Macaca fascicularis: one gene and its partners. The protein of the gene in region 3 interacts with the protein of the main gene of each other region in a pairwise test. Links are inferred from orthologs where the notes say so. Each region holds a gene or a part of one and is shown on either strand. Other genes may lie near its edges.

Region 1 (10,035 bases), on a different chromosome or scaffold from region 3:
GGGCGACAGAGCGAGACTCCGTCTCAAAAAACAAAACAAACAAACAAACAAAAAAAACAAAAAACAAACAAAACAAAACAAAAAAAATCTAGCCAGGCGAGGTGGCAGGCGCCTGTAGTCCCAGCTACTTGGGAGGCTGAGGCAGGAGAATGGCGTGAACCCGGGAGGCGGAGCTTGCAGTGAGCTGAGATCTGGCCACTGCACTCCAGCCTGGGCAACACAGCGAGACTCCGTCTCAAAAAAAAAAAAAAAAAAAAGAAAATATCCACAGGTAACAGTTATGGGAATAAGTGAAATGGGAGTTATTTAGAAGACCAAGTAGAAGTTTCAGAAATGAAAAGTATAATAACTGTAAACTCATCAATCAGTGACTTTAACAGCAGATTAGTGCAGCTTCAGGGAGAATTAGTGAACTAATAGAACTAATGGATAAGAATAAATTATCTATCCATATTCTTTTTTTTTTTTTTTTTTTGAGACGGAGTTTCTCTCTTATTGCCCAGAGTGCAATGGCACGATCTCGGCTCACTGCACCCTCCGCCTCCGGGGTTCAAGCAATTCTTCTGCCTCAGCCTCCTGAGTAGCTGGGACTACAGGCGTGCACCACCATGCCTGGCTAATTTTTGTATTTTTAGTAGAGACGGGATTTCTCCATGTTGGCCAGGCTGGTCTCGAACTCCCGACCTCAGGTGATCCACCCGCCTCGGCCTCCCAAAGTGCTGGTAATACAGACATGAGCTACCGCACTTGGCCTCATTTTCTTTTTTTTGAAACGGAGTTTCGCTCTTTTTGCCCAAGCTGAAGTGCAATGGTGTGATCTTGGCTCACTGCAACCTCTGACTCCCAGGTTCAAGTGATTCTCCTGCCTTAGCTTCCCATGTAGCTGGGATTACAGGTACGCGCCACCACGCCCGGCTAATTTTTGTATTTTTAGTAGAGACAGAGTTTCACCATGTTGCCCAGGCTGGTCTTAAACTCCTGACATCAGGTGATCTGTTCGCCTCGGCCTCCCAAAGTGTTGTGATTACAGGCACTACAGGCGTGAACCACCGCCTGGCTTTTTTTTTTTCTGTCACCCAGGCTGAAGTGCAGTGGTGCAATCCCAGCTCACTGCAACCTCCACCTCCTGGGTTCAAGCGATTCTTCTGCCTCAGCCTCCCAAGTAGCTGGGATTACAGGCGCCCACCACCCTGCCCTGCTAATTTTTGTATTTTTAATAGACACAGGGTTTCACCATGTTGACTGGCCTGATCTCAAACGCCTGACCTCAGGCAATCCACTTGCCTCGGCCTCCCAAAGTGCTGGGATTACAGGTGTGGACCACCATGCCCGGCCTATGCACATTAATTTAACTTAGATGAATGGACCAATTCCTTGAAAACTATAAACTACCTTGTTATGGCTTGGATGTTTTGTTTCCTCCAAATCTCATGCTGAAAGTGGTCCCCAGTGTTGGAGGTGGGGCCTGGTGGGAGGGATTCAGGTTATGGGGGTGGATTCCTCATGAGGGGCTTAGTGCTTTCCCCACAGTAACGAGTTCCTACAAGATCTGGTTGTTAAAAAGCGCCTGGAACTTCCTCTTCTCTCTCTTGCTCCCTCTCTTGCCATGTGACACACTGGTTCCCCTTCACTCTTGGCCATGGTTGTAAATTTCCTGAGGCCCTCACCTAGAAGCGTGCACAACTATGAGCCAAATATGTCTCTTTATAACACAGTCTCAGGTATTCCTTTATAGCAATGCAGAACAAACTAATATAGGAAATTGGGATGGGAGGAGTGGGGGATTGCTATAAAGATACCTGAAGATGTGGAAGTGGCTTTGGAACTGGGTAACAGAGAGGGTTTGGAAGAGTCTGAAGGGCTCAGAAGAAGTCAGGGATACAAAGAAACGTTTGGAACTTTGGATGGTGGGTACTGGTCACAGTGAGCTGAGATTATGCCATTGCACTCTGTGACAAGAGCGAAATTCTGTCTCAAAAAAAAAGAAAAAGAAATATTGTAAAGAAATGCATAGATAGTTTGGCAGTTCTTTTTTAATATGAAGCTGGATTTAGTGTGAAGCCAAATTTCACATCCGTGCTTGCATTGCTTCACACTATGTTTACTGTTTTGCATGGATAGTGCTGGCACTGGAGTACTTATTGGTCATGTGCCTAGAGTGAATTTCTTGATTTTGCAGGATCTTTGGTGATATTGGTGGACTTAAGGATATTGAATTGTGTATTAGGAATAAAATATTCATTATGTCAAGTTTTGGGGGGCTCTGGGTAACACTGTAGCCTCCAGGGTAGATTGAGTAGGAAAAATTTAGGGTTGGTTTCCTGTTTGTTTTTGTTTCTAATTTTCATTCATTTGCTGTTTATTCTCCTCTGGGCCTTGCTTGTATATGCATCCATCTATCTATCTATCTATCTATCTATCTATCTATCTATCTATCTATCTATCTATCTTGGCCTTTTGGCTAAGATCAAGTGTGTATTCATATATATAAAGCCATGATTTTTTTTTTTTAATTTTAGTTTCTATTGGAAGGCTTTTATTTGGTTTTGTGAATAGTTACTTTGCTGCCCATGCGTTTCTAGCAGGTCATCATTTGTTCAGGCCCCCAGGAATTGATGGAGCACACCAGCTTGTCTCGCTGTGTCCCCCAGGCTGGAATGCAGTGGCGCAATCTCCGCTCACTGCAAGCTCCGCCTCCCGGGTTCACACCATTCTCCTGCCTCAGCCTCCTGAGTAGCTGGGACTACAGGCGCCCGCCACCACGCCCGGCTAATTGTTTATTTATTTTTTTTTTTTAGTAGAGACAGGGTTTCACCGTGTTAGCCAGGATGGTCTTGATCTCCTGATCTTGCGATCTGCCCATCTCGGCCTCCCAAAGTACTGGGATTGCAGGTATGAGCCACCACGCCCGGCATGCATTCCTCTTAAAACAGGGAACAAGTCAAGGATGTTTAATGTTATCATTTTTATTTAACAGACTACTGGAAGTCTGCACAATAAGGAAGAAAAAGAAAAAGAAGCCAGCTTAGAAAGAAAAAAAAAAAACGCCCCATTTGCAGATGAAATTATCTATGTAAAAAATTCCAAGGAATCTATACAAAACCCCCCTAAAATTAGTAAGGAAGTTCAGCAAGATGGCAGGTTACAAGATCCGCACACGAAACCAGTTATTCAGAATGCAGCACAGAGGGACAAAAAGATAGAAAATATAGACGGTAGGTTAAAAATAAAGGTTTCTTATGTTCGAGTTCCAGAAAGAGAGAGAATATGAGACAGGCATCTGAAGAAAAATGACTGCGATTTCCCAAAACTGGTGGAAGATACCAACCCACAGATTATAGAAATCCAAAGACTTCCAAGCAAGAAACAAAACAAAAAGAAAAAATATCCCACTTAGACTTATGATAGCGAAATTGCAGAAGAGTGAAAGATGGAGAGCTGAGGAGGGAGAAATCAACAGGGGCCAAGTGAAAACAACGTCTACACCTTGGACTTAACGATAAAAGCGAATTCGTACTTGCAGAGTCATTGGCACCTGCCAAACCCCTTACACACATTAGCTGATTTACTCCTCACAGCAACTGTATTAAGTAGATTCTATCACTGCTTTCATTTTACAGATGAGGGAGTTGAGATTTGGTTATTTACCCAAAGGGGCACACTTTATCGATGTAGCGATAGGATTTTGAACAAGGTAGTTCTCGCTCCAGTTTTGTGCCCTTAACCACTACACATACTTGTTTCTCCAAAGGGCAATGGGAAAATGGGAAGCCACTGAAAGGCTTTAAACAGGGGAGTGATAACATTTGTTTCTGGAAGATTCCGGCACCACTGTGGATAGTGGATTAAATGGGGCTAAAGGTGGAAATAAAGAAGCTGTTGGAATAACGTAGCCCCAAACAGGGAGGGCCTGAATGAACTAAGAAGGTGGCAAAAGGCGCAGGCACAAGCAAATGGATTCGCGAGCTCTTCCGGAGTCGAATCCACAGGGCTTGACCTGGTATCGCGTTTTACTCCGGGTGCAGAGTGAGGAAAACCGGGTTTCTGACGCAGGCAATTGCGGTGGATAGTGAAAGTCATTCACTGAAGTGGACTGAGGCGGGACGCACAGGAGACTCGGAGGCCTGAGGACGAGCTAGGCTTTGGACACGGTAGATTTGTGCCGTCTGTAAAGCCCGCGGCCAGCCGAGGGGCAGGAAACGGCGTAAAGGGCAGAGCAGAAGCCGACTCTCTGGACCTCTCCGAGAAGGATCGTCCAGAGTCCCGGCCGCAGAGCACCTCTGCGCGGCGCTGCACGCGTCTCCGGAAGCCGCGCGCGCAGGCGCAGTGCGGGGGGCGCCCCCTGGCGGCGCAGGGACCGCCCCCAACCTCGCGCCGCCGCCGCCCGCCTCAGCCCAACATGGCGATGCACAACAAGGCGGCGCCGCCGCAGATCCCGGACACCCGGCGGGAGCTGGCGGAGCTCGTGAAGCGGAAGCAGGAGTTGGCGGTGAGGGGCTAGGACCGGGGTTGCCCGGCATGGGGCTCCGCGCCCGCCCCGCCTCCAGGCCCCAAGCCCGGCTGCGCCAGGCCGTTCGTTACTCCGGGGGCGCGGCGCGGCGGGCTGTGTGCTCGGCGGCCTGAGGCCGGGTGCGCATTCTGCGGCCCGCCGGCGGTTCAGCTTCCCGGCTGTGCGAATCCGGAGCCGGGAGGGAGCTGGGAGCGCGGGAGGGGGAGGGGCAGCGGCAGCCGCAGGAGGGGGCGTGGAGGGAGGACGGTGCCGGGGCTCGGGACTCGGGGAGAGGGCGCTAGGAAGGGCGAGGCGGGCGAGTCCGTGATCTTTGCGGGGTGGGGGTGGGGTAGGAGGCTAGTGTGGGAGGGGGACCGAGTCACCCTGTCTGGACTTTGGAGGATGGTGGGGAGCGTGTTCTTTTTGGTACTAGTAGTAGATCCGTTGAATGGAGGCTTTTGATAGACAGGGTTGTGATGTGTTTGGGAATATCTAGAAGGTGACAGGCGAGGGAGAAGAACACATTCTGGAGAATTCGGAATTGTGACAGGCACCCAAGGCCCAATGCACCCTGGTGGCTAAGCTCTTCCTGCCCTCACGTCTCGGCTTGGGCACCCCGGAGGCCCCTCTCACCTGAAGCTGCCCTTCCAGGTTTCCATAGCAACTGGCAGCCCGGTGCCGGCGGCCTCTCTGAGCCTGCGGGGAGGGGAGCGAGTTGACGCTGAAAGGCTGCTCACCCTTCCCTCTCCTGGTAGCGATACCTTTTGTGCGTGGGAGTGGATATCGCACAAGTTCTGCGTTAGCCTGGGTTCTTGACTCCTGGTTTCCGTGAATCCTCTAAAGTATATGCAAAATTTCGCGTGTGTGTGTATTTTTCTGGGGACATGCTTTATACATTCAGAGGTCCATCACACCCAAAGGTCTAGACTGTCTTAGTCCTAAACGGCTGCTCCTCCCCATATCATCCATCTCTCCACAGGGTGATTTAGTGTGGACAAGCTTGCGTTTACAAATCTAATATCAGGATTTCATTTTGGTCAGACTTAAGTGTTTGCATTTAAAAGGCATTATTCATGTCCTTGTTTTTCATCTCTCAGGAAACACTGGCAAACTTGGAGCGACAGATCTATGCTTTTGAGGGAAGCTACCTGGAAGACACTCAGATGTATGGCAATATTATTCGTGGCTGGGATCGGTATCTGACCAACCAAAAGTGAGTGTCGAAAGCCTGTAGTGTTCCTATTGTGTTCCTATTGTGTGTGTTTGTAGGACTGTAGGCTCTTAGTAGCAAGTTTGCTAGAGGCAGTAGTAAAGTGGTGGTGTGGTCTGGACTTGAACTCTTGGACTCTGGCTCAGGCACTGCCTCACTGAATAATCTTAGACAAAGCTCACGTCTGTAAAATAGCAAAAGTTGGGCCTTTGGCACAGGGTTGTGTGAGGCTTAAATACAGCATATAACAATATCTTTATACAACATCACTCTATTAAATTTTTTACACATTTTAATCAGTCGTGAGTTCTACCCTCACAGTATTTTTCTTTTCTTTTTTTCTTTTTCCTCCTGAGTAGCTGGGATTACAGGCGCATGCCACCATGGCTGGCTAATTTTTTTATTTTTAGTAGAGACGAGGTTTCTCCATGTTGGCCCAGCTGGTCTTGAACTCCTGACCTCAGGTGATCTGCTGCCTTGGCCTCCCAAAGTGCTGGGATTATAGGTGTGAGCCACCATGCCTGGCCACTTTTCTTTTTTCTAAGAGACAGGGTCTCATGCTGTTGTCCAGGCTGGAGTGCAGTAGCACAATCTTAGCTCACTGCAGCCTCAAACTCCCGGGCTGAAATGATCCTCCCACCTCAGCCTCTCAATTAGCTGGGACTACAGGCACACAATACTGCACCTGACTAATTAAAAACATTTTTTTTTTTTTGTAGAAGTGGGGTCTCACTTTGTTGCCCAGGCAGGCCTGGAACTCCTGGTTTCAAGCAGTCCTCCTGCCTCAGGTTCTCAAAGTGTTGGAATTAAAGGGGTGAGCCACCACGCCCAACTGACCCTCACAATTTTTGCCATACCTGTGTGCCAGCTGTACCACTGCTTGCTTAGTAATATTTTTAAAAAATTTCTAAACTTTTGGATTATCTTCAAGTTATAGAAAAATGGGAAGAATAGTATATGAACACTTGATACTGTCCTACCTGTATTCAGATTGTTAATGTGTTGTGACATTTGCTTTCTCTTACTCTCTATAATATTAATATAAGCACACACCTGTATTTACATTTCACGTTTTTAAATTGTGAAATAATTATAGATTCATAGGGAGTTGGCAGAATGGTCTTTTGTAGTCTTCATCTAGTTTTCCCCAATAGGTGTGTTGTTTTTTTTTTTTTTTTTTTTTTTTTTTTTTTTTTTTTTTTGAGACGGAGTCTCACGCTGTTGCCCAGGCTGGAGTGCAGTGGCGCGATCTCGGCTCACTGCAAGCTCCGCCTCCCGGGTTCCCGCCATTCTCCTGCCTCAGCCTCCTGAGTAGCTGGGACTACAGGCGCCCGCCACCGCGCCTGGCTAATTTTTTGTATTTTTAGTAGAGACGGGGTTTCACTGTGGTCTCGATCTCCTGACCTTGTGATCCGCCCGCCTCGGCCTCCCAAAGTGCTGGGATTACAGGCTTGAGCCACCGCGCCCGGCCAATAGGTGTGTTTTATATAACTCTAATACAGTATCAAAGCCAGGAAATTGACGTTGGTACAATGTATATATATAGTTCTATGTCACTTTATCTTGTGTGTAGATTCATGTGACCACAATCAAGTTACTTCAGGAACTATTCCATTACCACAAAGATCTTCCTCATGCCACTCCTTTGTAGTTATATCTCCCTGTCCCCCTACCTTTTTTTCCTACTTAACTGTTTGAAAGTTAGATGCAGATATACTGACACTTTGCACTTAAATGTGTCAATAATTATCTCCTGAGTATAAGGACATTTCTCCTACCTAACCAGTTATTATACCTAGAAAATCAGTACTACATTAATAGTATATAATACATAGTCTTTATTAAAATTTCCTCAGTTGTCCCAAAAAATTCTTGCTGATTTGTTTTGATCCAGGATTCAGTAAGCATTCATGCATTGCATTTGGCTGTTATGTCTTAAGATTGAAGAGAGTCACCCTTTTCGTGGTGGTTGTGGTGATATTCATGACATTGCCTTGTAGAATATCGCAGTTTCCTGAGATTTTTTGAGGGCAAAACTCATGACTAATTAAAAGGATCCTGAAAGATCCTTTAAACATTTTTGCAAAAATGTTACATAGGCAATTGGTGTATCTTTTGTTATCTATCTCTCGTTTACCAGGAGGCACATAATGTCACGTTGTCTTATTATTTGGTGCTGTTAAGTTTGACCATATGATTTATCTGCTATAAAAGTTCGTTTTTTCCCATTGTGTTAACAAGTAATTTTGGATGTTATGCTTTGAGACATTATGAAAATACTGCTTCCTCTAAATTTGTATTCAGTTGTTTAGTGTACACCGTTGATTCTTATCTGAATCCATTAGTACACTGGAAGTTGTAAAATGGTGATTCTCTAATTTTATTATTCCCTTTATTACTGGCATTCTGAGAAAGAGTCTTCCTTTTTTGACTTCTTTTCTTTCATTCTCCCACATTTGTCCCAACTGTGGTCAGAGGGAGCCTCTTCAAGCTGGCTTGTTTGTCGTTTTGACGTGACCCTATTATTTTTGGAGCACTCCATTGCTTTCTGGCCTAAAAGATGTCCCATACTTACCTTGTGCATTTTTTGTCCCAGACCTGGTATCAGCCATTCCTCTAAGGAACCCTGGTTCCTACTTTAAATTTGAGAATTAAGTTTATTTAAGAGACACTTCATATCACTAATCTGTTCTCGACTTTTTAAATAATAAGCGTTAAAATAAATACATATTGGCCGGGCACAGTGGCTCACGCCTGTAATCCCAGCACTTTGGGAGGCTGAGGCGGGTGGATCACCTGAGGTTGGGAGTTCAAGACCAGCCTGACCAACGTGGAGAAACTCTGTCTCTACTAAAAATACCAAATTAGCCAGGTGTGGTGGTGCATGCCTGTAATCCCAGCTACTCGGGAGGCTGAGGCAGGAGAATCGCTTGAACCCGGGAGGCGGAGGTTGCAGTGAGCTGAGCTTGCATCATTACAGTTCCGCCTGGGCAAGAAGAGCGAAACTCCGTCTCAAAAAAATATATAAATAAATAAATAAGGTAAAATAGATACATATTAAAATGAAAATGTGGCCAGGCACAGTGGCTCACACCTGTAATCCCAGCACTTTGGAAGACCAAGGTGGGTGTATCACTTGAGATCTGGAGTTTGAGACCAGCCTGGCCAACATGGTGAAACCTTGTCTCTACTAAAAATACAAAAAGTAGGCATGGTGGGGTGCACCTGTAGTCCCAGCTACTTCAGAGGCTGAGGCAGGAGAATCACTTGAACCCAGAAGGTGGAGATTGCGGTGACCCAGGATCGCGCCACTGCACTCCAGTCTGGGAGACAGAGTGAGACTCTCTCAAAAAAAAAAGGCTAGGTGTGGTGGCTTACGCCTGTAATCCCAGCACTTTGGTAGGCTGAGGTGGGCAGATCATGAGGTCAGGAGTTTAAGACCAGCCTGGCCAACTTGGTGAAATCCCATCTCTACTAAAGATACAAAAGAAAAAATTAGCTGGGTGTGGTGGTGCGTGCCTGTATTCCCAGACTACTCTGGAGGCTGAGGCAGGAGAATTGCTTGAACCTGGGAGGCGGAGGTTGTGGTGAGCCGAGATTGTCCATTGTACTGCAGCCTGGGTGACAGGGTGAGACTCCGTCTCGGAAACAAAAAAAAAAATAGACTGGGCGTGGTGGTTCATGCCTGTAATCCCAGCATTTTAGGAGGCCGATGTGGGTGAATCACCTGAGGTCAGGAGTTCGAGACCAGCCTGGCCAATGTGGCAAAACCCCATCTCTACTGAAAATACAAAAACTTGCTGGGCATGGTGGCGGGCACCTGTAATCCTGGCTACTTGGGAGGCTGAGGCAGGAGAATCGCTTCAACCCGGGAGACAGAGGATGCAATGAGCTGGGATTCTGCCATTGCATTCCAGTGTGGGTAACAGAGCAAGACTCCGTCTCAATAAATACATAAATAAATAAATAAATAAATTTAAAAAACATGTGAAGCAGCTAAATCTCATGTCCCACAGTGGGCCATGTACCATATATTGGAAAACATTGCTTTCTATGTTCAGCATAAAGGTCGTTTGGGCCAATCTAAGTGATATGGAGGCTTTCTGTGGTGAACATGAGTCCTGGGGCATTCCCAGCTTGAGCCATAGACATAGCTTGGTGCTCATGATGAGTTTCTTCTGTGTGTTTTAGAAACTCCAATAGCAAAAATGATCGAAGGAACCGGAAGTTTAAGGAAGCTGAGCGGCTCTTCAGTAAATCCTCAGTTACCTCAGCAGCTGTAAGTAGTGGTGGTGGGGAAATCTTTCTTTGGCCTGTTGTTGGGGAATGTGTTTTC
Region 2 (10,020 bases), on a different chromosome or scaffold from region 3:
AATAAACCATTAATATTAAGATAAATAACACTATTAAAAGTACTTTCCAAATTATAAATTTTTATGTTAATCTTTTTAATACCTGGCTTAAAATAAAACAGATGGATTCCTCTATCTGCTTCTGCATTCAACTTTCTGAAACATGTGAAACTCTTGAAAACTCTACTGTACACTACATTCATGGGCTAATAAGAGTAAAAAAGGTAAATTACTTCTTGGTATTTTTTTAAAAATTGTTTTTCTCTCACAGACATCTGAAAAGGTGCCAAAGATCCCCATGGGTTCCTAGACCAACTTTTGCTAACTAAAACATTAGATCCACAGATAACATGAAAGAAACTCAAAAACTCACTGTTGAGTGATAAAAAATACACAAAATGACACATACTCTATGATAACTTCCTGAAGTTATAACACATACAAGGAAACCAGTCTGGGGAAAAAGAAGCAGGATTGAGAAGCACTGAAGGCAACTCTTTAAAATGACCTGCACAATTCCATTTCTTTAAATTTAAAAAAAAAAATGAAACAAGTGTGAAAGACTGTAACATTTGTTACAATCTGTTACAACAGATTTATACTTGCCTACTAAGGACAAAAGATTTTATAATTTACATGTTTAATATATTAACTGTTAATTTTTTAAAGTCATTGACGTAGATTCCTTTGTGTCTCTCCTAGATTCCTTTGTGCCTTTCCTAGATTAAAATTCCTCTTTCAATTAAGCAAAATTTGGTTAAAATCTAGTTACTCTCCTTTATTACATTTTACAGCTAAATAAGAGCGCCATATTTATTAAAATACTATGTTTAAAACAATTTAGTAAGAAAAAGAATGGGCTGTCAGCCAAGGTAGATGGTTAAAGCAATGGTGGAAACATGTTCCTGAGAATCCTGTTTTCATCTGCTGCCTTCAAAAAATGAACACTCAATACTTACACAATTCAAGAACACTATTTGGCTCCTTAACTTCAATTGGAGGGCCATTCAACTCCATATAAATCTCTGCATTAAATTATTTCAAATGATTTTTTTGAAATAATGTTTATCTGCCAGATCATTCTGTTAGCGGAACAAATCAAGGTAAGAAACTATCTACTATAATTAAGGGCTTCAAAAGTTAGGGATGAAAACAAAAGTATAAACCTACATTTAGAATACAATAGATTAAATGTTAATTAAAGATATCTACACTGCTCTAAGTGACAAGGATGAAAGAAAGCCTGGTAAAACGGTAGTGTCTGGAAAAGGAAGATAGCAAAAAGCAGGAATTATTTTAGGGACTCTAGGGCAAAAGAGGTTCAATGCACATTACTGGGCACCTACTCTGTGCCAGATAAATTTGGTTTCAGCAATATTGAATATGGACTGTTAATAAAAGGTCAGGATGGAGGTGTTCAGTAAGTAACTGTAAATGCTAGATGAGAAATTTGATGAGTGAGAATAAGAGACAGGGATGCCAGGGAAGAAGTTTGGAGAAAACGAGTAATTAATCTCAAGTTAAATTCCACATTTAGGTTAGGAAAATGACCAGAGCAGACAAAGAAAGGACAGAGAGTTTCTGAAATGCAGTACACTTTCAGGTGACACACCAATTACCTGCTGTGGAACAGTTTCACATGTTGAGAAATACCAGATTTAGAAGTGGGAAGAATAGAAATAAAAGTACTAGTGAAACTAAAGAGAAGACAGATACGCTTTTTGTAAAATAAGCATATCTATGAATATTTATAGAAAGGGGCAGGCAGAGAGTAAGGAAAGGGTAAACAGAGAAAATGAACTTTGAAAGCAACACTTCTCCCAACAAAAGAAAGTAAAGTGAAGGAAGAACTAAAGCAAAAGTATGAAATGAATGAGATCAAACATTTGCATCATATGGTCATCTATCTTTCTCAATTCAGTAACAAAATAATATGCTGGCATTGAAGAACTTAAGAATCTAAAAAAAGTTTGCAATTGCCAGAACGCATAAATGCAACAATTCAAAGGTAGCAATTAGTGACAATACAAATGTAAACAGAGTCAGAGTTATTTTTTTATATATATATATATATATATAAGCACTGTATGCTTTAAAAAAAAAAGGGGGGCATCTATTTAAAAAATACACATAAATTAAAAACTAACAACTCATTTATCCAAGATAATTGGCTAGCAGAAGTCCGGCACAGTGGTTCACGCCTGTAATCCTACCACTTTAGGAAGCCAAGGCAGGTGGATCATCTGAGGTTTGGAGGTTGAGACCAGCCTGGCCAACATGGTGAAACTCCATTTCTACTAAAACTACAAAAATTAAAAATTAGCTGGGTATGGTGGCACACACCTGTAGTTCCAGCTACTTCGAAGGCTAAGGCAGGAGAATCGCTTGAACCCAGGAGGCAGAGGTTGCAGTGAGCTGAGATAGCAACAATGCACTCTAGGCCGGGTGACAGAACGAGACTGTCTCAAAAAAAAAAAAAAAAAAAAAAAAAGACTAACAGATCGTCAAGGTCTATCCCATCAGGCAAAAAAGTACTTTTTACTTAACAATTTCCTTATAAATCCTTTAAAACTATGCACTTGCCTGTCTTCTTTTTGCACATCCATTGCTGATGTACTGGAACATCTACAACTGCTGTACTGTACAAGATACAATTCTATCTTCTTTACAGCTCTTCAGTTGTCAAGATATAAATCAACTACCTCTACAGTTTATGTTGGCCCTTAGCAAGTCAACAACTAGATTGCATTAAAAATTTGCTTTGATGGCCGGGCGCGGTGGCTCACGCCTGTAATCCCACTACTTCGGGAGGCCGAGATGGGTGGATCGCGACGTCAGCAGATCGAGACCATCCTGGCTAACATGGTGAAACCCCGTTTCTACTAAATATACAAAAAAATTAGCCGGGTGTGGTGGCGGGCTCCTGTGGTTCCACCTCCTGGGGAGGCTGAGGCAGGAGAATGGTGTGAATCTGGAGGCAGAGCTTGCAGTGAGCCGAGATCGCGCCACTGCACTCCAGTCTGGGCGACAGAGCCAGTCTCTCTCTCAAAACAAAACAAAAAAAAAATTTTTTTTTTCCTTTGACTACCTCCTGCAATACACTGCCACACTTTTGTAAACCATCAATCTCTAGTTTCCTTCAGACTTCTTTGAATCATCAGAGCTCTGATATGCTAAAGTCTGGGAAAACTGAAAACCTGCCTTTTATAAATTGTAAAAGTCTAGGAAACAAGTGCTGTACATGTTCTCTGAAACTACTGCATCTAGGACCCTCACATATAAAGTGAACTGCCAATTTTAAAGCTTGCTCACCTGAAGACTATTTTCATCAGAGGATTACCTTCACCAAGAAGGGCAATGTTTGCATACAGCCATCTGAAGGCTACTGCATTTCTGACAACTGGTTTTTTTTTTGTTTTGTTTTTTGTTTTTGTTTTTTTTTTTTTGAGACAGAGTCTCGCTCTGTCGCCCAGGCTGGAGTGCAGTGGCGCGATCCAGGCTCACTACAAGCTCCGCCTCCCGCGTTCACGCCATTCTCCTGCCTCAGCCTCCCAAGTAGCTGGGACTACAGGCGCCCCGCCACCACGCCCTGCTAATTTTTTGTATTTTTAGTAGAGAGGGGGTTTCACCGTCTTAGCTAGGATGGTTTCGATCTCCTGACCTCGTCGCCTCGGCCTCCCAAAGTGCTGGGATTACAGGCATGAGTCACCACATCCGGCCAAAAAATAGCTACATTCTTGATCATCTATCCGGTAACGGAAACACCAATTTACTACTAGCCCTCAATGCTTCTCAGCCTTGAAACTGTTCTAACAGCTGCAGCCAGAGCTCAGCATAATCTCAGGTGTGCCACGAACGCATTTCAGAATCTATCTTTTACAGCCTAAATTTGTATCCCTTTCCTATCTATATTACACACTCCAGCCAAACCGTAAATATTTGCCATTTTCTACAGACATTTCATTCTTGTAATGACCTCTCCTACTCCCACCCTACCTAAGAAAATCCTACTCATCCCTCAGTAACCCTAGCTAAACCCCATTATCTACTTCAGGAATCCTTTCCCAATTTTGCAACCTGAAACCTCGCCTTCCTGTGAAATGCCCACAGCAAACTTTTTGCAGTCACGTTCTGCATTAAGCGCCTTTTAAATCTTTCTTAGTACCTAGCACTGTCCAACGCTCACGCTACTGTGCTCCAATTTGCCAGCAAAGTTGCACAAAATGCTAACAAGTCTTTTGAAGATGAAACTGTATAAGAAATTTCAAATAAAATCTCAATGTCATCATGGGTATATGAACCTACAAGTAATGTATTGTCCTTCAAAGAGAAAAATACCTCTTCTGCCTATTTTCCATCTCTTACTCAAAAAAAAGTATCCAGACTAAAAAGCTCGTTTAAATACAGCTCATCAAAAGTTTTTCCACATAAATGAGAGAAGTCGCCTTAAAATTTTATTCCTCTGCCCTCGTGCTATATAATTTGTACTGTACTGTCTATCGAATGATGTCTAATAACTTTTTTTATAATAAATCCCATTGATATTTTTCAGATCCTCGAGGAGGCAATGATGGTTGCAAAATAAGCGCATGGAAGGTCCCCGAACAGCCACATAATGACTTTAATTAGGAGAAAATAAAATTTTCTGGAATTTATGTGCTCTCGTGAGCCCAGGTGCCCTAAGTGCCACCTGCCCAGTAGGGTGCTATAGACTCTGGGAAAGACACAGAGCAGGGAGCGCTGCGACTCCGGCACCCGAACAGACGTCTGCAGCATGTCAGCTAAAGCGTAGCCGACACAGCCTCCAGCCAGGGACCGGCTGTGAGGGGAAGGCCGAGAGGTGGCGCTGCTGCAGGAGTCTGGAATGTAAGCGCGCGCATGGCGACAAAGGCAAAGGCCGCCAAGGGAACGAGCACGCCCCGTCGCGCAGACACGCCGTCGCGCCGGAATCTGGGCGGCCGCAGCCGCCGCCGCGGCCGCCCTTTTCCCCATCCCCGGCTCAAGGATCATAACGGAATTCTTTTCCAGATACCGCCTTCAAAATGGCGGCTCCGCCTCCCGACAACACTTTCAATACTCCCCAGCAGCAGGCGCCTACTATCCGCCATCTTGCCCCCGGTCCCTCCTCCCCTTCGCGGACATTTACATAGCGAAAATAGGCCCAGCAGGCCTCCGGCCTTCACCTCACGCCTGCAGCCTTCGCCTCCTCGCCAGGCCTCGCCCCCGTGCCGCGCCCTGGGTCTGCAGTGGTTCGACCCCGGGTCCACCAACCGCCTTCCGAACAAACAGGCGACCTTTTCCCACCCCTGCCCGCTTACGGAGCGCACCTCCGCATCCTCTCAGGGCGGCCGAATTATTCCCAGGCCTAACTGCGGCCTCCTCGGGGCCTGTTCGGCGCCGAGCGCCACGCCGGCCGGCCTAGCGCGGGAGGGCGCCCTACGGGACGCCGACCAGGCCACGAGCAAGTTACTGCGCGCGCACTAGGCCCCGCGGCCGCGGGGGCACGCGGGACTCACCCGACGGACTTGCGGGCCGCCGGCGACAGCGGCGGGTGCTGCAGGCCGGCCTTTCTCTGGAGCACTGGGCCGGGCTCCGGCTGGTAGGGCGGGCGGAGGGAGGGAGGAGGGGCCGAGCTCGGAGCTGACAAAAAGCGGCCCAGCTCCCCGGCACAGGCCCGCCGTCAGCACGTCACGTCACCGCCCGGGAGAGAGACCCAGGAATATGCGGGATGGTAGTTGGGCCCCCTCCGCCCGGTGGGCCTCCCGGCGCCCCGGGTCGCCGCCGGTCACGCCCCGAGACTGGGGAGTCCAGTGACCTCACTGCGGTGGGGTCTCCGGCAGCCGGAGTTTCCGTCACAACGTTCTTTTCTTCCGCGCTCCCGCCCGCCGTCACCACTACTCGCGCGCCACCGCCTCAGTCGGTGGCGTACAGGCAAGCGGCCCCGCACCGGCCAGGCCACCCCCTGCCATCTCCGGTGGACCTCGGATTCCTAATCTCCCACACCCTGCCCCAGGCCTCCCCGAGACCTATTGCCTCTCCGCGCCAGTCCTAGCCAAGGCAACAGCTCTCATTGTTTGCTTGTCCTTAGACCCCCCGCACGCAGTAAATGTGTTTTCTTTATTCCTAGGGTTGAGGAGAAAAGCAGATGCAGAGATACAGATACAGACAGCATCCCCCACTGGCTCCTACGTTCGATTTAAAAATTAAAAGAAAAAAGTAAATGGACTTACCAGTGTGCAGGCAAGAGGAGGGGAGGGTTATCCTAAATCAATTACTAAGCCATTTGAGTTTTTTATGTTAACGTAGGTATTTTGACCAAGGTCTGTAATGTTTAGTATACGTTCTCTATTGCAATGTTTCATCTTTTGGCATCCTTGAAAGGTCAGTTTTGTGTAATTTTCTCATAAACAATGAATTATGCACATTCGTTAATAAGTGTAAACTAACAATTGGTTTGGGGATTGTTTTCTTACAAAATTATCCTCTTAAAGTTTAAAAAACCTTTAAAATGCATTTGATTAAACAGCTTGTACTGATAAACTACAAAAACGTGTATGTGTTTTCATTACGGTTTTATGCGCGCTAACTTCCTATTAAACTTGGGACTCGGACTGTGTTTGAAAGCTGCTACTAAAAAGTTAAATATGCCTATCGCCGTGGCTCACCTCCGAGCGCTTTGGGAGGCCAAGGCTGGAGTATCGCTTGAGGCCAGAAGATACAGGCCGACAGCTGTGATCAAGCCACTGCACTGCAGCCTGCAGGCCAGAGCCAGTAACCTCTAAATGTAGAGGCTAAGTATTTCAGTTTTCTAGCATACCGATTTTTAAAACTCACAGAAATCATCTTGTCCTTACCTGAGACACCTAAAAGTCATAAAATGCTTTACAAAAGAAAAACCAATGGTACATAGTTGGTATAATGAGATTAGTGGCTGGATAGCAATTCTCTTTTCAAACCATTGGTTTGACCTTTTTTTCTCAAGTGGTTACATTTTGTTTCAAACATGATAAATGAGAGGCAGCTCACCCCTGTAATTCCAAAACACTTTGGAAGGCTGAGATAAAATCAGCTTGTGCTCAACTGAGAGTTGGAGACAAGCCTGGAAAACAGGGAGATACATCTGTACAAAAAAAACTGAAAAGAGCTGAGTGTGTTGGTACACGCCTGTAGTCCCAGCTGTGGGGAGGCTTAAGCCCAGTTGGGCTATGATTGTGACACCACACTCCAGCCTTTATGACAGAGCAAGATCCTATATTTAAATAAATAAATAAATGTAAATCTTGTTTGAGAAAATTTCATCAAGTTAAGACAATGTATTTTGTGGAAAGAAGTATTTTTACAATGTCTTTCAGTGAAGAACTAGCCTAATTTCATACATAATTAACATAACTTCAAAATACTGATAAAGTTAAAGTTTTTAGAGAGAGTACCTGGCTCTTGCCACCCAGGCTGGAGTGCAGTAGCCCCTTCATAGTTCACTCGGCTTTGAACTCTCCAGTTCAGTGTAACAGCCATGGTCTCCCAAAGCACTGGGATTACAGCTGTAAATCAAATATTTCCCAAAGGCCTTCATTTAATGCTATGATATGTCAAGAATGGGATCTCATATCATCCACTCAACTGTAAGCAGCATGGTCAGAACACAAAAAAGGTAAACATTGTTAATACTTCTATGCTAATCAAAAATCCCATTATTATCAAAAATTACCAATATATAAAGCACTTCAGAAAGAACAGCTAAGGAATATAAAGGAAAAAAAGATGTTTCCTAATCTAAAAGATCAGAGGTAGTTTAGATAATGAAAGTTTAAACAGCTTTTGACACTACTTTTCATTCATAATGTTAACTTTTCTTAAGAGACAAGGAAAGGATGGTCTAATTGTAGTTGTCATATAAGAAGAGTCTTTATTACAGTCCAAGAAAGATTATAAATGACTCCACAGATGAAGTCGACTATATTACATCTTTTTATTTTCTCAGACACAACAGAGGGAAAATTTATACAAGGACAATGATGAGATAATATTTCAAAAGTATATTGTGAATACAAAATAACTGGCTGCAAAGCAAATAAGCTTTTATTACTGATAAAATGTACCTGTTGTTCAGAGTTGCTAATGTGTCTCAGCTTTGAAAGTAACCAGCTCACAAAGATCATGGTTTCAATAAAGTAGCTACAATTGCATAAGCAAGAGACAGTACAATGTCTTTATGTCTTTTTCCAAAAGAAGATGAAGAAAAAAAAAAACTGAATTTTTCTTTCCATTACTAAGAAGGAATTTACAAAAGAAAGATTATAGTAGTTTTTGAGAAAGCAGAGACACTTCAATAGTACAGCATTCATTCATATACCAAAATTTAAAAGCATGTTATCTAAAATGTCTCAAAAAGCTTTATGGAACCAAAATTTAAAGACATCGTATCTTAAAAAATCTCAAAAAGTTTTATAGAACTAAGTGTATTCGGCTGCTATGGCGGCCATGAGGAAATCCCACACTGAGTGGTTTAATCAACAGAAATTCATTTTCTCACAATGTCAGAAGCCCCAAGTCCAAGGTCAAAGTATTGATAGGTTTGATTTATTCCAAGGCCTTTCTAGTTGACTTTTAGTGATGGCAGCCATATCATTGTCTTCACCTGATCTTCACCCTGTGTCTATGTCTGACTCTCTTGTAAGGACACTAGTATTGAATTAGAGATCACCCATATTACTTCATTTTACCTTAATTACCTCTCTGCAAATGCAGGCACAGTTGGAGGTACTTGGAGTTATAATTTGGGGAAGGACCCATTTCAGCCCAGAATACCCTCTGGTGGCTCAAATGCATCTTATTTCTCACATGCAAAATACATCATTACTAGGGTGTGTCAAAAAATGTTGTGATCCAGTTTGAAGAGGCTTGTACTGACTAATAATGAGTATCATAATAACACGTTATAGAAATGCACTTAACCATTCAATGTATCCAAAATCATGAATCTACAATAACATATTTCAAAAAATTACCACCTTTGAGGAATGGTACAGAACCAACACTTATGAGAAGAATGTTTGATTATGAAAAGAATAACATGTTTAGCTCATACAAATTTTCCCAACCAAAAACAGTGATAGCAATTTTCTCTTTATAGATGTATTCCCTTTTTCAGTCTGTTTTCTTATCACGTCATGTAGCCTCCAGAAAATTCCACTGTACACCTGCGGAAAAATAAGAATGCAAAAGGCAGTATTTATAGTTATATGGAAATAGTTTTTTGTTGTTGTTGTTTTGAGGAGTCTCACTTTGTCGCCCAAGCTGGAGTGCAGTGGCGCGATCTCGGCTCACTGCCAGCTCCACTTCCCAGGTTCACTCCATTCTGCTGCCTCAGCCTCCCGAGTAGCTGGAACTACAGGTGCCCGCCACCACGCCCAGCCAATTTTTTTTGTAGTTTTAGCAGAGACAAGGTTTCACTGTGTTAGCCAAGATGGCCTCAATCTCCTTGTGATCTGCCCACCTCTGCCTACCGAAGTGCTGGGATTACAGGCCTGAGCCACCGCACTCAGCCTGGAAATAGTTTTGAAATTCCCCTTGAAACAGTATGGGGACCCTCAGACCAGACTCTTGAGAAAGAATTTGTGAGTTAAAATGTAATAATAGTTACACGGAGTGTCTTTGTTATAACATTTCCAGAGAATGCACAAATATGCCATTTTCATCCACCAAAATAACTAAAACAGAAATGAGGGATTTCATGTCAGAGTTCTTACATGGCAGACATTGACAACAAAGAAGAGTCTCATCTTGGACAAGATTTGGGGCTGGCTGTGGTGCTTCATGCCTGTAATCCCAGCTCTTTGGGACAAAGAGGGTGGATCACAAATTCAAGACTAGCCTGGCCAACATGGTGAAACCCTGTCTCTACTAAAAATATAAAAATTAGGTGTGATGGTGCATGTCTGTAGTCCCAGCTAGTCGGGGGGCTGAGGCAGAGAATTGCTATAACCCAGGAGGCAGAGGTTGCAGTGAGCTGAGATTGTGCCATTGCATTCCAGCCTGGGC
Region 3 (10,014 bases):
TGCACCAGCACATCCAGCTAATTTTTTTTTTTTTTTTAAACGGAGTTTCGCTCTGTCGTCTAGACTGGAGTGCAGTAGCATAATCTCGGCTCGCTGCATCCCCTGCCACCCTGATTCAAGCAATTCTCCTGTCTCAGCCTCCCGAGTAGCTGGGACTACAGGCACATGCCACCACACTCGGCTAATTTTTATATCTTTAGTACAGATGGGGTTTCACCATATTGGTCAGGCTGGTCTCGAACTCCTGACCTCAGGCGATCCACCTGCCTCAGCCTTCCAAACTGCTGGGATTACAGGCATGAACAATGTGCCCAGCCAATATTTTTCTATTTTTAGCAGAGATGGGGTTTCACCATGTTAGCCAGGCTGGTCTCAAACTCCTGACCTCAAGTGATCCACCCACCTCAGCCTCCCAAGTAACTGGGACTATACGCTTGTGCCACCACGCCAGGCTAATATTTTGTATGTTTTTTTAATCAAGACAGGTTTTTCACCATGTTGGCCAGGGAGATCTAGAATTCTTTTTTTTTTTTTTTTTTTCCCAGGCTGGAGTGCAATGGCACAATCTCAGCTCACTGCAACCTCTGCCTCCTGGGTTCAAGCGATTCAGCCTCCCAAGTAGCTGGGATTACAGGTACGCTGCACTAAGCCCGGATAATTTTTGTATTTTTAGTAAAGACGGGGTTTCACCACATCAGCCAGGCTCGTCTTGAACTCCTGACCTAAGGCGATCCGCCCGCCTTGGCCTCCCAAAGTCCTGGGATTACAGGCATGAGCCACCACGTCCAGCAGAACTCCTGATTTCAAGTAATCTACCTGCCTCAGCCTCTCAAAGTGCTGGGATTACAGACGCGAGCCACCATGCCCAGCCAGACAACTTTTTTTTTTTTTTTCTCTGTCACTAGGGTAGAGTGCAGTGTCATGAACATGGTTCACTGTAGCCTCAACCTCCTGGGCTCAAGCAATCCTCCCTCCTCAGCCTCCAGAATATCTGGGACCACAGGTGCACTCCACCACACTTGGCTAATTTAAAAAAATTTTTACCCTGGCGCAGTGACTCAGGCCTGTGATCTCAGCACTTTGGGAGGCCAAGGCAGGAGGATCACGAGGTCAGGAGATCAAGACTATTCACCCAAGTGGGAGAATCACCTGAGGTCGGGAGTTCGAGACCAGCCTGACCAACATGAAGAAACCCTGTCTCTATTAAAAATACAACAACAACAACAAAACAAAAAATTAGCCAGGTGTGGTGGCGCATGCCTGTAATCCCAGCTACTTGGGAGGCTGAGGCAGGAGAATTGCTTGAACCTGGGAGGCAGAGGTTGTGATGAGCCAAGATCGAACCATTGCCTGGGAAATGAGAGTGAAATTTGTCTCAAAACCAACCAAACAAACAAACTCTAATGCCTTTCCCTTGCACAGAATAAAATCCAAGCACTCCACAAGACCCTGAATGACCTGGTTCCAGCTTTCTCTCTAACCTCGTCTTGTGCCACCCTCTCCATCTTTTGCTATATCCATCTACTCTCCCTATTTTTCTGTTTATTGTGTACCAAGCTTGGGTTGGCCCCAGGACCTTTGCACTTGCTGTTCCACCAATGTGGCCTTTGCACTTGCTGAACCAATCTTTCTTTTTCTTTTTTTTCACCACTATCTCATTCCAGAACATTTATTTATTTATTTATTTATTTATTTATTTATTTGAGATGGAGTCTTGCTCTGTTGCCCAGGCTGGAGTGTAGTGGCGCGATCTCAACTCACTGCAACCTCCGACTCCCTGGTTCAAACGATTCTCCTGCCTCAGCCTCCCAAGTAGCTGGGATTACAGGCACATGCCACCACGCCCAGCTAATTTTTGAATTTTTTTTTTTTTTTTTTGAGGCGGAGTTTCGCTCTGTCTCCCAGGCTGGAGTGCAGTGGCCGGATCTCAGCTCACTGCAAGCTCCGCCTCCCGGGTTTACGCCATTCTCCTGCCTCAGCCTCCCGAATAGCTGGGACTACAGGCGCCCGCCACCTCGCCCGGCTAGTTTTTTTTTGTATTTTTTAGTAGAGACGGGGTTTCACTATGTTAGCCAGGATGGTCTCGATCTCCTGACCTCGTGATCCGCCCATCTCGGCCTCCCAAAGTGCTGGGATTATAGGCTTGAGCCACCGAGCCCGGCCTAATTTTTGAATTTTTAATAGAGATGGGGTTCACCATCTTGGCCAGGCTGGTTAAGATCTCCTGACCTTGTGATCTTCCCACCTTGACCTCCCAAAGTGCTGGGATTACAGGGGTGAGCCACTGTGCCTGGCCAGGTCTATGAGTTTTAAAGATCACCTGTGTGGATTAAAGGTGAAGATTTAAAAAGGGTGACCATGGGAGGCGGAGGTTGCAATGAGCAGAGATCCCACTGCACTCCAGCCTGGATGACAGAGGGAGACTCCATCTCAATCAACCAATCAATCAATAAAAGAAAGAGGGCAGGGCGCGGTGGCTCATGCCTGCAATCCCAGCACTTTGAGAAGCCAAGACAGGTGGATCACTAGGTCAGGAGATTGAGACCATCCTGGCTAACACGGTGAAACTCCCTCTCTACTAAAAATACAAAAAATTAGCTGGCATGGTGGTGGGCACCTGTAATCTCAGCTACTTGGTAGGCTGAGGCAGGAGAATGGTGTGAACCCGGGAGGTGGAGCTTGCAGTGAGCCGAGATCGTGCCACTGCACTCCAGCCTGGGCAACAGAGCGAGACTCCGTCTCAAAAAAGAAAGAAAGAAAGAAAGAGAGAGAGAGAGGGAGGGAGGGAGGGAGGGAGGGAGGGAGGGAGGAAGGAAAGAAAGGGTGACCACTTGAAGGGCTGCTGAAATGGGCCGGTGGCTTGTATTAGAGTGGTAGTGGAGGAAATACAGGATATATTTTGGAGGTAGAAAAACCAACATGTTGGCAGCATGGATACAGGGGTTTAGGGTGGAAGGGGTTGAAGGAAAGAAAGACATCTAGGAAGAGTTTCACATCTCCATGGTGGACCTCAAATTTAGGCATATGTTTTGTATGTATTCAGCCTCCACATATTGCATTTAGAGTCTCAATTAATTCATTGGGACACAGCATAGCATAGGGAAGGAATTTGTACTAAATTTGGAATCCCTATCCTGTGTGATCTTGGAAAGTGCCTAAACCTGAAGAGCCACCACTTCCTCTTCTTTCAAATGGTGATAGGATGTGTAAGGGTTTGAAAAGATGTTTGCAAAGCTCCACAACAGCACCTAGAACTCAGGGTGTCTAAAGAGGTTGTGGGAAACCCTAACGGGATGAGGCAGAGAGCCTCAGATTCAAGGTTTTTACCCAGGAGGGAGTGGTGCATGAGGAAGGTTGCAAGATTTTGAGGAGGCTGGACACTTACAGCATTGAGAAAAAGAATATTCCAGTTTCAGCTGACGCGGTGGCTCACGCCTGTAATCCCAGCACTTTGGGAGGCTGAGGCGGGTGGATCATGAGGTCAGGAGTTCAAGACCAGCCTGGCCAAGATGGTGAAACCCCATCTCTACTAAGAAATACAAAACTTAGCCGGGCTTGGTGGCGGGCGCCTGTAATCCCAGCTACTTGGGAGGCTGAGGCGCGAGAATCGCTTGAACCCGGAAGGTGGAGGTTGCAGTGAACCAAGATCGCGCCACTGCACTCCAGCCTGGGCGACAGGGCAAGACTTCGTCTCAAGAAAACACACACACACACATACACACACAGTATTCCAGTTTCTTTCTTTTTTTTTCTTCTTTTCAATCTGGAGTATTTCAGTTTCTGCCTGAGTTGGAAATGAGTCCCTCTGCTATGCATCCCAGCAAAAGGACACCTTAAATACCTAACTCGGGAGAGTACGAGGTTATTCCTGGAGTCTGGAACAGTGACTATCATAGGTGCTCAGTAACCGTTTAGTGAATAACATCCCAATGAAGTCAAGAGGTTGGCGTAACTGGAACAGTCGGCGTGAGGCGCACCAGGTTTCCAGCGTTCCTGGTTTCCACGTCACTATGGTAACGTCCCACCCTGCACACCCAAGGCGAACTACAATTACCACAAGCGCCCGCGATTTCCCCGCCCAAAGGGAGAGAATGGCGCGAGCAAGCACGGAACCGGCTTTTCCTCCTTCCTGCAGCGTGATTGGCCCGCGGCTCAGGGAGGCGACCAATGAGTGCTCTCGTGGAGAGCGACGAGGCCAATATGGCTTCCTGCACCTGGTGACGCTTGGCGAAACTGAGGTCTCATGGAGAAGCCCCCGAGTATTGAGGTGAGAAGGAGAGGACTTAGCGTGACTTGGAAGGGGAACCCCGAGATCCTCGCTCCGTGGACCCTTCTTTAGGGCTTTTAGCGACGTCTGGAGGATGGAAGGTGGAAGGATGGATAAACTGAGATAGTTAAACTGAGCCAGGGCCAGAGGCGACTGGCGTTACTTTTTGCTCCTCTCCTGCTGGGGCCAATGTTCGGCGAGTTCAGGGAGGAACAGCCGTCCCTGGCCTGGGGGAAGGGGAACTAGGTTTAGGATGTGAGAGCTCCTGAATCGATTCTTTATCCTCATTGTCTCGTGGCCGTGTTCTTTAGGGCTTGTGAGGCCTGTTACATGAGGTGGGAAGTGAAGGGCGATTAACGTTGGGTGAACATCACTCCTTGTCTGTAACGTTCATGTGCATTATCTTCCAGTACCCTCACAGGAATTATTATTCTTTCGTCTTTGTCGTTCAAGCCACTGAGGCTTAGAGGTGGTGCGACGCCCCAGGAAGTTACCCCGGCTGGAAAGTGAAGGAGGTTGGCTCTAAGTCTGTCCGCCTCCGAAACTATCTGTTATGCTTTTCACATTGTACTGCAACCTGGAACCCACTCATCCCTTTTGTTTTTTCTTTCAGACGGAGTCTTGCTCTGTTGCCCAGGCTAGAGTGCAGTGGCCCGATCGCGGCTCACTGCAACCTCCGTCTCCGGGTTCAAGCAATTCTCCTGTCTCCGCCTCCCATGTAGCTGGGATTACAGGCATGCGCAACCACACCCGGCTAATTTTTATATTTTTAGTAGAGACGAGGTTTCACCATGTTGGTCAGACTGGTTTCGAACTCCTGACCTCAGGTGATCTGACTGCTTCGCCTCGACCTCCCAAAGTGCTGGGATTACAGGCGTGAGCCACTGCACCCCGCCTCATCCTTTAATCATTTGGTTTCTGGGCACTTTATATTTGTTTTAAGAGACGGGGTGTTCCTCTGTTGCCCTGGCTGGAGTGCAGTGGTTACTCACAGGCGTGATGACAACGCACTGCAGCCTCGAACTCTTGGGCGCAAGCAATCCTCACACCTCAACCTCCTAAGTAGCTGGGACTATAGGTGGTCTCTGTCACCCTGCCTGACAAGGGTACCTATATTTGAACTGTTTCCTTTCTAGCATATTTGCATGTATAGTTGCAAATATAAAGTGGAATAGCTCAAACATTCTGCAAGGGTAAAGGAAAATAATAATGTGGAGAATAATAGCATGTCACACTTTTAGAGCTGTTACTGACTGCTGGAAATAGAACTAGGCTTTACATATCTTAATCTTCATAAGAATTATCTAAAGAAAGCTTATTATCTCTCTTGTAATGATGAAGAACTGAGGGTAGCAAGATAAAATACGCACAAAATCACACAGTTAATAAATGTTAGAGCCAGGATTCAAACCTAGGCAAATCATAGTCTATGCTTTCAACCAGTAAAAGTTGGCAACGTTTATTGAGCACTTACTATATGCAAGTCACTATTCTGAGTGCTTTGCCTGTATTGTCTCTTACTTCTCCCCCAAATCCTTTTTTTTTTTTTTTTTTTTGAGACAGAGTTGCTCTCTATCACCCAGGCTGGAGTGCAGTGGTGCAGTCATAGCTCACTGCAGCCTTGACCTCCCTGGCTCAAGAGATCCTCCCACTTCAGCCTCCCTAACCACCACGCCCAGCTAATTTTTTCCAGTTTTTGTAGAGACAGGGTTTCCCTATGTTGCCCAGTCTGGTCTTGAACTCCAGGCTCAAGCAATCCTCCTGCCTCGGCCTCCCAAAGTGCTGCGATTACAGGCATGAGCCACTGTGGCCAGCCCCCAAACCCTGTGAAATAGGTGGTACTATCCTCATTGTACAGATGTGGAAACTGAAACACTGCAAAATTGACTTGCTGCAGGTCACACAGCAAGTAAGCACTAGAGATGGTATTTGAGCTCTTCACACCTTTTTTTTTTTTTCCCTTTGAGACAGCGTCTCCCTCTGTCATCTAGGCTGGAGTGCAATGATGTGACCATGATTCAGTACAGCCTTGACCTCCCAGGCTCAAGCTATCTTCCCACCTCAGCCTTCTGAGTAGCTAGAACTACAGGTGCATACCACCACCACCTGGCTTTTTTTTTTTCTTTTGAGACAGTATCTCACTCTCTTGCCCAGGCTGGATAGCAGTGGCATGGTTATGGCTCACTACCGCCTTCACCTCCCAGGCTCAAGCAATCCTTCCACCTCAGCTCCAAGGAGCTGGGAATACAGGCACATGCCACCACACCTGGCTAATTAATTTATTTTTATTTTTTTGAGACGGAGTCTGGCTGTCGCCCAGGATGGAGTGCAGTGGCACCATCTCGGCTCACTGCAAGCTCCGTCTCCCAGGTTCACGCCATTTTCCTGCCTCAGCCTCCTGAGTAGCTGGGACTACAGGCTCCCACCACCACGCCTGGTTAATTTTTTGTATTTTTTTTTTTTTTTTTTTTGAGACGGAGTCTCGCTGTGTTGCCCAGGCTGGAGTGCAGTGGCCGGATCTCAGCTCACTGCAAGCTCCGCCTCCCGGGTTTTTACGCCATTCTCCTGCCTCAGCCTCCCGAGTAGCCGGGACTACAGGCGCCCGCCACCTCGCCCGGCTAGTTTTTTTTCATATTTTTTAGTAGAGACGGGGTTTCACCGTGTTAGCCAGGATGGTCTCGAACTCCTGACCTCGTGATCCGCCCGTCTCGGCCTCCCAAAGTGCTGGGATTACAGGCTTGAGCCACCGCGCCCAGCTGAGTCAAATATTTTTATTTTATAGATGAGAAAATTGAAGCCCACAGAAGTTAAATGACTTGCTCAAGGCCCTATAGCTAGTTAGGATCAGAGCTGAATCTAGCGCTATAGTACACCCCAAGATGCCACAGTTATCTGTGTGTCATCTGCCTCTCCGATCCTCTTTGGAGCAGTCTGGGTCCCAAATTAACTTTTCTGTGACTTAAACTGTTTCTGAGTTGAGATCATTTTGATGTAATATTGAACACAGAAGACATTTCTTTTTTCTTTTTGAGACAGAGTCACTCTGTCGCGCAGGCTGGAGTACAGTGGTACGATCTTAGCTCACTGCAACCTTCGCCTCCCAGGTTCAAGCAGTTCTCTGCCTCAGCCTTCCAAGTACCTGGGATTACAGGCGCCTGCCACCACACCCGGCCAATTTTTGTATTTTTAGTAGAGACAGGGTTTCACCATCTTGGCCAGGTTGGTCTTGAACTCCTGACCTCGTGATCCACTCGCCTTGGCTTCCCAAAGTACTAGGATTTCAGGTATGGGCCACCATGCCCGGCTAAGAATTAATTTGTAATATATATCTTCTACCCCAGAAAGTCTTTGTAAAGTACCTTAGGATATTTCACTTTTTTTTTTTTTTTTGAGATAGAGTCTCGCTCTGTCACCTAGACTGGAGTGCAGTGGCACAATCTTGGCTCACTGCAGCCTCTGCCTCCTGGGTTTAAGCGATTCTTTGCGCCAGCCTCCCGAGTGACTGGGACTACAGGCACCCACTACCACACCTGGCTCATTTATTTTTTTGTATTTTTTAGTAGAGACAGGGTTTCACCGTCTTGGCCAGGCTGGTCTCGAACTCCTGACCTCAGGTGATCTGCCGGCCTCGGCCTCCCAAAGTGCTAGGATTACAGGCATGAGCCACTGCACCCGGCCCTCATTGTTACACAGTATTCTATTTGAACCATGTTAAAATATCATCATTTGGAAATCCACAGAGGAGCCTGGTGAATTCCTAACACATATTTTCTGTCTTGTTAAGCTGTTGTATTGCATCATGGTGGAGAAATGTGGAAATAGGAGTAATGATCCTGGTATTTGGAAGGTTCCCGGAAGTGTGAGGGGGCTGATAGCAGATCTGCAGCTTCTCCCCCCGTGCACTAAAGCCAACCATAATTCTTTCTACCTGGTTTGTGTCATCCTCCATTAGGAGACCCCGTCTTCAGAACCAATGGAGGAAGAGGAAGATGATGACTTGGAGCTGTTTGGTGGCTATGATAGTTTCCGGAGTTATAACAGCAGTGTGGGCAGTGAGAGCAGCTCCTATCTGGAGGAGTCAAGTGAAGCAGAAAATGAGGATCGGGAAGCAGGGGAACTGCCGACCTCCCCCCTGCATTTGCTCAGCCCTGGGACTCCTCGCTCCTTGGATGGCAGTGGTTCTGAGCCAGGTGCCTTCAGAGTGTCCCCTGAGGATGGAGAGGAGTCAGAAGATTATAGAGGAAGAGGGGGATGGATATAGGCTATATGGGCAGAGCCATCCATATGTAAAAGGCTGTTAACTGTGATTTCTAAGGGATCAGATGTGTAAGGATCTGTAAGAGAGACAGAAGCAGCCCAAGTAGCCACAGCGGTACTTCCTTTGCTGAATTTTTTTTTTTTAAGACTTGAGTTGCCGGGCGCGGTGGCTCAAGCCTGTAATCCCAGCACTTTGGGAGGCCGAGACGGGCGGATCACGAGGTCAGGAGATCGAGACCATCCTGGTTAACACGGTGAAACCCCGTCTCTACTAAAAAATACAAAAAACTAGCCGGCCGAGGTGGCGGACGCCTGTAGTCCCAGCTACTCGGGAGGCGGAGGCAGGAGAATGGCATGAACCCGGGAGGCGGAGCTTGCAGTGAGCTGAGATCCGGCCACTGCACTCCAGCCTGGGTGAGAGCGCGAGACTCCGTCTCAAAAAAAAAAAAAAAAAAAAAGACTTGAGTCACGCCCTGTTGCCCAGGATGGAGTGCAGTGGCATGATCTTGGCTCACTGCAACCTCCACCTCCCGAGTTCAAGTGATTCTCGTGCCTCAGCCTTCCAAGTAGCTGGGATTACAGGCACCCACCACCACACCCAGCTAATTTTTGTATTTTTAGTAGAGGTGGGGGTTCACCATGTTGACCAGGCTGGTCTCAAACTCCTGAACTCAGGTGATTCACCCACCTCGGCTTCCCAAAGTGCTGGGATTACAGAAGTGAGCCACTGTGCCCGGCCCCAGTCTAATTTCACATTGTGACTTCATTCATTCTTTCATACAACTAATGTGTATTCAGCACAGTTTAGATGCCGCTGAATAACACGGTGCTGCTTTTTTGTGTAAGTATATACAGTGGATTTCCAGCCTGGATGTTAGAAGACAGGAAACCTAAAGTGTTTTGGTTCCTTTCTGAGAAGGGACAAATAGCTTGTGGCTTGGAAGTCAGGGTGGGAGTGGGGAGGTAATACATGATAAAGTGACCCTGGGTAGGAGGATTGGGTTGGGGGCGGGCAGATGAGAATCCCTGTGGATCATCTGGAAGCCAGTTGAGTTCAGAAATGTGATGCTTGGACAGCTGCTGAACCCCTGTGTCACGGCCTCCCATGTGTGGGCTGCCTGTGAAGAGAGGCAGGCTAGTCTGTGATGACACTGCCATCCCTTGGATCCCAAACTTTTTTTGTTTTGAGACAGGGTCTCATTCTGTCACCCTGGCTGGAGTGCAGTGGTGTGAAAATGGCTCACACTGCAGCCTTGACCTCCTGGGCTCAGGCAGTCATTCCACCTGAACCTCCTGAGTAGCTGGGACTACAGGCGTATGCCACCATGCCTGGCTAAGTTTTGTGGTTTTTTTTGTAGAGACAGGGTTTTGCCATGTTGCCCAGGCTGGTCTTGAACTCCCAAGCTCAAGTGATCCCCCACCTCGGCCTCCTAAAGTGCAAGGATTACAGGTGTGAGCCACTGCACCCGGCCCCAAACTTGTTACAAGAG

The links.
Region 1: the proteins of L3MBTL2 (region 3) and MEAF6 interact in binary tests that used the Homo sapiens proteins (3 or more experiments, as listed by UniProt). The two-hybrid records come from large-scale screens. The link is inferred for Macaca fascicularis from reciprocal best matches to the Homo sapiens genes L3MBTL2 and MEAF6.
Region 2: the proteins of L3MBTL2 (region 3) and ZFY interact in binary tests that used the Homo sapiens proteins (3 or more experiments, as listed by UniProt). The two-hybrid records come from large-scale screens. The link is inferred for Macaca fascicularis from reciprocal best matches to the Homo sapiens genes L3MBTL2 and ZFY.

What each region holds. Positions count from the first base shown.
Region 1 is NC_088375.1:197,410,416-197,420,450, forward strand, and holds the start of MEAF6 (chromatin modification-related protein MEAF6), read left to right. Parts: upstream 1-4,391; 5' UTR 4,392-4,399; coding exon 4,400-4,489; intron 4,490-5,586; coding exon 5,587-5,702; intron 5,703-9,890; coding exon 9,891-9,978; intron 9,979-10,035.
Region 2 is NC_132903.1:2,518,349-2,528,368, reverse strand, and holds the start of ZFY (zinc finger Y-chromosomal protein), read right to left. Parts: upstream 5,645-10,020; 5' UTR 5,163-5,644; intron 1-5,162. UniProt on the Homo sapiens protein: Probable transcriptional activator. Binds to the consensus sequence 5'-AGGCCY-3'.
Region 3 is NC_088384.1:10,403,875-10,413,888, reverse strand, and holds the start of L3MBTL2 (lethal(3)malignant brain tumor-like protein 2), read left to right. Parts: upstream 1-4,076; 5' UTR 4,077-4,091; coding exon 4,092-4,267; intron 4,268-8,219; coding exon 8,220-8,457; intron 8,458-10,014. UniProt on the Homo sapiens protein: Putative Polycomb group (PcG) protein. PcG proteins maintain the transcriptionally repressive state of genes, probably via a modification of chromatin, rendering it heritably changed in its expressibility.